2 linked regions of the Ovis aries genome follow. The protein of the gene in region 1 interacts with the protein of each later gene in a biochemical or structural test. Links are inferred from orthologs where the notes say so. Each region holds a gene or a part of one and is shown on either strand. Other genes may lie near its edges. The genes, in order: CHM and RAB7A.

The links.
Region 2: the proteins of CHM (region 1) and RAB7A are reported together in a solved structure, tested with the Homo sapiens proteins (2 studies listed by BioGRID, with this or other methods). The link is inferred for Ovis aries from reciprocal best matches to the Homo sapiens genes CHM and RAB7A.

Annotation. Positions count from the first base shown.
Region 1 is NC_056080.1:77,545,324-77,549,140, forward strand, and holds part of CHM (rab proteins geranylgeranyltransferase component A 1), read right to left. Parts: intron 1,434-3,817; coding exon 1,046-1,433; intron 1-1,045. UniProt on the Homo sapiens protein: Substrate-binding subunit of the Rab geranylgeranyltransferase (GGTase) complex.
Region 2 is NC_056072.1:59,079,622-59,083,438, forward strand, and holds the end of RAB7A (ras-related protein Rab-7a), read right to left. Parts: intron 2,645-3,817; coding exon 2,516-2,644; intron 632-2,515; coding exon 536-631; downstream 1-535.

The sequences.
Region 1 (3,817 bases):
ATAGATAGCTCAGAAACATGAGGAAGGACCAAGACAGTAGCCAACTCAGACCGAGGCAGAATCAGGCACAGAGACCTACATTAGGAAGAAACAATGAGTAGTAAAAAGATATATTTTCAAGCATCAGGTTCAAAAAGATCAGCAGGATGAGGATGTATGATTAGATCAGCAAAATATGAGGAGCATTACTTCCTTTCTTTATAACATGGAACTTCAAGAGAGCACATGAAATAAAAAAATCCTAGTCTGATATTATTCACTACCCTCTCCAACTTCTTTGCAATTTCTCATCATTTGCCCTCAACTTATGGTATTTGGTCTCTCTACTTTCACCCAGCCCTATATTATAACATTTTATAGCCACTATTTTATCTTACTAGTGTTTTCTATTCTTTTGCACTAAATTTGTCTTGCTTCCTATAAATCCAGTGCAACACTGCATGCTCCAAAGACTTGGGGACCACCTCTGAATTCATGTTGACTAACATTAGAGGTAAGAATGGGAATAAAAAAAAAAAAAAAAACTGAAGACAGTTGCATCCTTCCTAACCTCCCTGCCCAAATTACTATTAAATTATCTTCCAAAGCCCTCACATCTGAACCAATTATTTTTGAAATGTATCGGTTTATTCAAAATGTTCATCATTATACAGATGTCAAAATAGTTACTATATAAATAAGGGCTAAAAAGAAGTTTATTTAATAGATTGACTATAATAACATGGACCCATAATTAGATTCATTAGACATGTTTTCTTGATAGAATTCAAAGTGTCCATGTAGTAGGAGAATATTTGGGTGGAGTACATGCTCCAATACAGAAGTAACCGTGTGATACAGTACTGAGCATTGTTGTGTTTTTAACTTAGGTCTAAGGAATATTTTAATAGAACTATAAATTACAGATACTATCTCTTTATAAAATAAACACTCTACATTTCAAAGAATAAAATAATGAAAATTGGGTTTATGGACTCAGATGCTATATTCAATCAATTAGAAATTAGTACAGTTCCATGATAAGATGGGTAAAACTGTTACTTACCTTTGATACCAAATCGATATTAAACCTCCTGCCTTCTTTAATGATTTGAGAGTAAGTAATCCGATTTTTCTTTGGCTGTTCTGCTGTGTCTTCGGCCACAGGCACATTTTCACTTGTTTCCTTTTCTGCAGTTGAGGGCACACAAGTGTTATCATCACAATGGTTTTCTTTTTCCCCTGTCACTTGAACATCATTTACTTCTAGGGCTCTATCTGGATCACTGCTTGGAGTTTGTTCTGCCGGTATTTCACAGCTTGTAGTTCTTAATGACTCATCTTCTATAGGCAGGCAGGCAGAATCTGCAGCTTCAGTGCAGTTCACAGATGTCACAGAAGCGTGATTTTTCTGTAGTGCACCAGCTTCTTCCACATCTTCATGCAAATCCTGACTGATGAGAAATTATAATAATAATCCACACCAATAATCAAAGTGATAATTATACGTGGGTACATTTTTATATGTATCAATTTAACTTTTAATGGCAATTTTTATTTCTTTACCTCATTTATTTTATCAGATTCAGTGGATGTCTTGCTTTATGTGACATACACATTAAACATTCATCTGTTTAGGTTTTAAAACAATATGAAACATAATTAACGTCTGAAAAAATATACATAAAGATTTCAGGGTTTAGCAGGCATGTCGTGTGTGTGTGTGTGTGTGTGTGTGTGTGTGTATATCTGAAAAGCAGATTTTTATCTTTATAATTTATTTCTGTTTGTCTTGGGGTATCGTTGATTTACAATATTGTATCAATTTCAGGTGTACAACAAAGTGATTCAGTTATACATGTACATATATTCATTTCTTCAGATATTTTCTCCATATTACAGAATACTGAGTGCTATACAGTATGCATGTATATATTAATCACGTGTATTTTTTAAGAAGTTAAGGCAGACAGAGGAATTGCACTTTAGAAACAAATCAACACAGTGCTTACAAGCTCATCCTTCAGAATAAATAGATTGAGGTTCAAACCCAGACTCTATGACTAGATAACTCTGTGAATGTAGACAAGTTTTTTAATCCTCTCTGATGCAAATTATCCATCTATAACATAAAGATAATACCAACTACCTCACCAGGTTGTTCTGAAGACTAAATGAGGTAACACAAGTGAAGAATCTGGTACAGAGCCTGGCACATAAATGCTCAACAGTAAGTATCAAAGATTATTACCATTATATGAGGTGTGACAAAGCTAAAAAGCTGCTATAAAAGTGTACATTGACATATCACAATGTGGTATCTAACAGGATCTTTCTGAACTGATTCTCGCTGTTTTCAATATTAATGTCTATTACTTTATTGGAAGCCCCACTTTCAATATTACCACTAGACTTCACATTCTCAGTCCATTACTGCCTTGATCGACACAAAAAGTTCCTGTTCAGCATGCACCATTATCTCTCCATGATGTGTTTTATCCTCTACAGATCCTTCCTTTTCATTGAGTTGCGCTACTATTCAACACTAAAATTACCTCATACATGATAGGCTGTGGGAAATAACCATCTGCTAATTGATTGCTTGAGACCTAAGAGCAGTTCTTAAATCAAATCTCAACTCTACCCCTATAAAATCTTCCTCTATCAGTCTCTAAACAAAATCACCTTTTTTATTTACTAACTTTTGTCTCATCTCACCTACTTTCCAACATGGCATCTCTTAAATCATAATTTGTCAACTCAAAGTCTCCATAATTAGGCTCATGTTAACTGTTTCTTCAAGATTGCAGGGAGAAATATCAATAATCTCCAGTATGCAGATGACACCACCCTTATGGCAGAAACTGAAGAGGAACTAAACAGCCTCTTGATCAAAGTGAAAGAGGAGAGTAAAAAAAGCTGGCTTAAACTCAACATTCAAAAAACGAAGATCATGGCATCTGGTCCCATCACTTCATGGCAAATAGATGGGGAAACAATGGAAACAGCAAAAGACTATTTTCTTGTGCTCAAAAATCACTGCAAATGGTGACTTCAGCCATGAAATTAAGACACTTGCTCCTTGGAAGAGGAGCTATGACCAACCTAGACAGCATATTAAAAAGCAGAGACATTCCTTTGCCAACAAAGGTCCATCTAGACAAAGCTATGGTTTTTCCAGTAGTCACATATGGATGTGAGAGTTGGACCACAGAGAAGACTCAATGCCAAAAAATTGATGCTTTTGAACGGTGGTGTTGGAGAAGTCTTGAGAGTCCCTTGCACTGTAAAGAGATCAAACTTGTCAATCCTAAAGGAAATCAATCCTGAATATTCATTGGAAGGACTGATGCTGAGGCTGAAGCTCCAATACTTTCACCATCTGATGTGGAGAACTGACACAGTGGGAACAACCTTATCCTGGGAAAGACTGAAGGCAGGAGGAGAAGGGGACGACAGAGGATGAGATGGTAACAATAACCCTATAGCAAGACAGCAAAATAGACACAGATGTATAGAACAGTCTTTTGGACTCTGTGGGAGAGGGCGAGGGTGGGATGATTTGGTGGAATAGCGCTGAAACATGTATATTATCATATGTAAAATGGATCACCAGTCCAGGTTTGATGGATGATACAGGGTGCTTGGGGCTGGTGCACCATTATGACCCAGAGGGATGGGATGGGGAGGCAGGTGGGAGGGGGATTCAGCCACATGTACACCCGTGGCGGATTCATGTAAATGTATGGCAAAACCAACACAGTATTGTAAAGTAACAAAAAAATAAAAATAAAAAATAAAAAAAGAAAGAAAATACCATGCTACTTGTTATAATCTA
Region 2 (3,817 bases), on another chromosome or scaffold:
TTTAATTGGTTGCATATATTAACATGTACTATAAGATTCTTTTCTACGAAGCATTACATAATAAATGGATACTGTAAAAAGATCTGATTAGTTAAAAGTAACAAGCATTAACAGATACATACAAAACTCAGCCTGATCAGACTGGGTGTGAGCCTGTGATGGAGCGCAGGGCACCAGCCTTCCCACGTGGTGGCCTTCACAGGAGGGGGTGGGTAAAAAGACCACAAGACGGTTAAAAAAATCAGAACTAATTAGACACAGATTAACTGTAAACAGTTCTCTCTCCAGTGGATGAAAGGAAGAAGCTTCCAGCGCAGACTCCACCCAGGCGGGTGTGCGCCTCCGGCCTTGCTGCTGCCGCGGAGCCCGCGGGGCGGGCGGTGGGTCTGTGGGGCGTGTGCGGGGGTCGGCGGTGTGCTGGGCTCTCCGGGCAGCTGGGCGAGAGATGACTGTCTGTGGGAGGAGGGGCTCGTGGAGGAAGGCCTGCACCTGTGTTCTCGGTCGCGGAGGGCTGTGTGCTCTGCTCTCTGCCTCTTCAGCAGCTGCAGCTCTCGGCCGAGGCCTTGGGGCGGTCGTTCTTGTCCAGTTTGATGGGCTCGGGGAACTCGTTGTACAGCTCCACTTCCGTTTCCTGGGCAGGGAGAGAGGCGGTGACCGCGGGCCCGGGGTGGCTGCAAGTCCTGCGGTGTAGGGGGGCGGGCCCCACAGCGGAGGGGCCAGGCGGGCACCGAGGGACGCTGCGGGGCAGGGGCAAGAGGGACAGGCTGGCGCCCTCCACCTGCACGTGCCCGCTCTGGGAGCTTCTGCCAGTGCCTGACAAGGACAGGGTCTGGGGCCCCAGCCTCACAGACCCCGCGAGCTCGCCCTGCGCGCCCCTCTCTGGACCCAGGTCTGTTGTCTCTTCCAGGCCTTCAGGAGAGCTTGCCCCCAAGGCTGCACATGCCAGGCCCGCCCAGGACAACTCCCTCAGTGTGGGGCCCACAGGACAGGGCCTGGGGTCACTTCACGGGGACTTGGGCTGAATTAGCGTTTCCAGCGAGGGGCAGCTCCCTGCTTCCTAGGGAAGAGAATTCACCTGTGCCTTAGACGCGGAGCACCCGCGGGTCGAGGCCCTCTGGGGAAACCACTCCGGTCACAAGTGCTGTGCAAGCGGCCACGCCCAGGACTGCCTGTAGTTTAAGGCGGTCTCGCTCCCTGAGGGCTGAGCGTGTGCCCCTGCAGCCTGGTCTGCTCACAGGCCCAAGCCATCAGGCCCTTCCCGGCCCCGGAGGCGAGCCGGCTCCAGCAGCAGCGGCCTGTCCCGCCTATTGCTCCAAGCCCTGACCAGCGCTCATCTGCGTTCTGTCTTAATGGAGGCCTCAGCGAGATCGGACCTGTGGCCCCGAAACCGACAGGAAATAAGTGTGTCCTTGAGCCACGCGGCCTGTGGGCACTGTCCAGGGCCCGGTGCTGGCTGACACAGTTAGAACCTCAGGAAGGTTTATTTTTTGTGGGGGTAGGTGGTGGGGAGAGGACGGAGGAGGAAAAAGTTGCACCTGGAGTGAAAGTCTTAGTTCAAATGGATAATGAACCAAACAGAGCCAAGAGAAAAGCCTCGACTAGCGAGGGGAGAGGCCGTGAGGTCAGGACGGCCGTGCAGGGAGCACGTGGGCTGCAGGCGGGGCCCGGCGCAAGGAGAGCGCGACACGGGGGAGCGGGCTCCACAGACGGAATACACACCCACCGGCAGGTTCTTCACTGTGGCCAGAGAGGCTGAGAAGAAGGCCCACCACACACAGCTCAGCCCCACCTCTGCGCACGGCCGAGGCCCGGGCAAGGGCTGCAGGGGCCCCTCTGCAGAGCATGGGCGCTGCGCCAGCGACGCCACCGCGGTGCCGGGACTGAGGGTCACCACTGTCCCCAGGGACAGCCAGGGGCCCCCTTACCAGTCGGACAGTCTTCCTCCTGCGACTCGAGCTCTAGGGGCAGGAGTGTTTAGGGAGGAAAGCACTGCCCTGCTGCTGTGGGGTCAGAGGAGCCCTCACCCGGCACCGGCCAACAGGATGCCGCTGGTATGTGGTGGGGAGGGGGACCATCTGAATAAACACCACAAAGAAAACGCAGGAGAACCTTACCTAAGGAAGATGACTCCTAGAACCTTTTGGGTTAACCTTTATGAGGATTGTTTAGGATAATTCCCAAAGTTGGTGCACCTCACTGAATCTTCACAAACGCCCTGAAAGCGGGCAATCTCATTGTACAGCTCAGACAGGATTTAAAAACCAGACTAGATCCCAAGACGGGCAGCAGAGCTGTGCCTCAAACTCAAGTGTATCTTGAAACAGGAGGAGCACGCCGAGCAGGGCGGCCCCACACGAGGTGGCCTCGATGTGTGCCCCCATGGAGCTGACTTACAGACGGCGGGACGGGGCCGCTCTCAAAGGCCCGCCACCACCTCTGGCTGCACAGGAAGCCCGTGGGGAGAGAAGGTGCGGGCCAAGGCGGCCAGGCCAGGGCTCCGTCCCCGGACACCCACCTGCTTGAGCGCGTTCCGGGCGATCGTCTGGAAGGCCTGCTCCACGTTGATGGCCTCCTTGGCGCTGGTCTCAAAGTAGGGGATGTTGTTTTTGCTGTAGCACCAGGCCTGAGCCCGCTTGGTGGCCACCTGAAGGGGAGGCAGGGTGCAGGTGCCAGGAAGAGCAGGCATCCCAGCGGAAGAACCCCCAGGACCCCCGCCGGCCACCGCCCACCAGCCCCTCGCCAGCTAAGCTCAGTACAGTGGGGCTTTCCCCTCTCAGCCTCCGACCCCGAGCTGCACCTGGAGGCAGCTTGTGAAGGGCGGCGGCAGCCAGCTCGGGAGGAAGTGCCTCCCCTCCGGCCCAGGACAGGTCTCCAGCCCCTCCTGTGACCGCTCAGCACACCTGCCTGGACCCCTGGCCTGATCACACACCCAGGCCCCAGAGCCCCCAACCCAGCCACATCCTGTTTCCTGACTCCCCACCCGAGCCTGTTTTCAGGAACAAGAGAAGAACCAATTCACTTAGGAAAGAGCTGACTGGTCAAAAATAAACTCAGCTATGAGTGAGTGAATGAAGTCTGGTCAGTTGTGTCTGACTCTGCAATCCCATAGGCTGTAGCCTACCAGGCTCCTCCGTCCATGGGATTTTCCAGGCAAGAGTACTGGAGTGGGCTGCCATTTCCTTCTCCAGAGGACCTTCCCGACCCAGGGATTGAACCCGGGTCTCCCGCATTGTAAGCAGACGCTTTACCGTCTGAGCCACCAGGAAAACTCGGCTATGCTTGACGACATCTCTGTCTACACCGACATCTCTGTCTACACTCCCCAGAGATGCTACTGGAAAGGAAGCCAGAGCAGTTTTACTCAAAAGCCCAAAGCACCTCCCGCCCCGCGGGATCTGGGGGGGCCCCGCTGCGGGAGGACGACAGCTGATGGCAACCGAACCCTCCCCCAGGGTCAGAAGCAGAGGCGCCCACAAGCCCGAGTCACGGCTGTGCGGGTGGTGTGGGGGTCTCAGAGGGCCTCCTGGGCCCCAGTCCCCAGGGGCAGCCGGCCTGAAGATGGCGCCCCTGTGCACCCCCAGAGCCACGAGGTGCTCAGCACAGACCCTCCGTGTGCACAGGGTACCTCAGAACAGGCGGCCCAGGCGAGAGAGCAGGGCGCTGGGCAGGCCCTCTGGGGCCCCACGGCCAGGAGACCGAGGTCCCACGGGGCCCAGAGGTCAAGCCTGGACTGGAGCCAGGAGGGCTGGCAGGGGGCCACTCCACGGGGCGCTCCGACCCCGCACACCCACCCTGCTCTGCTCCCAGGGAGCCGGGC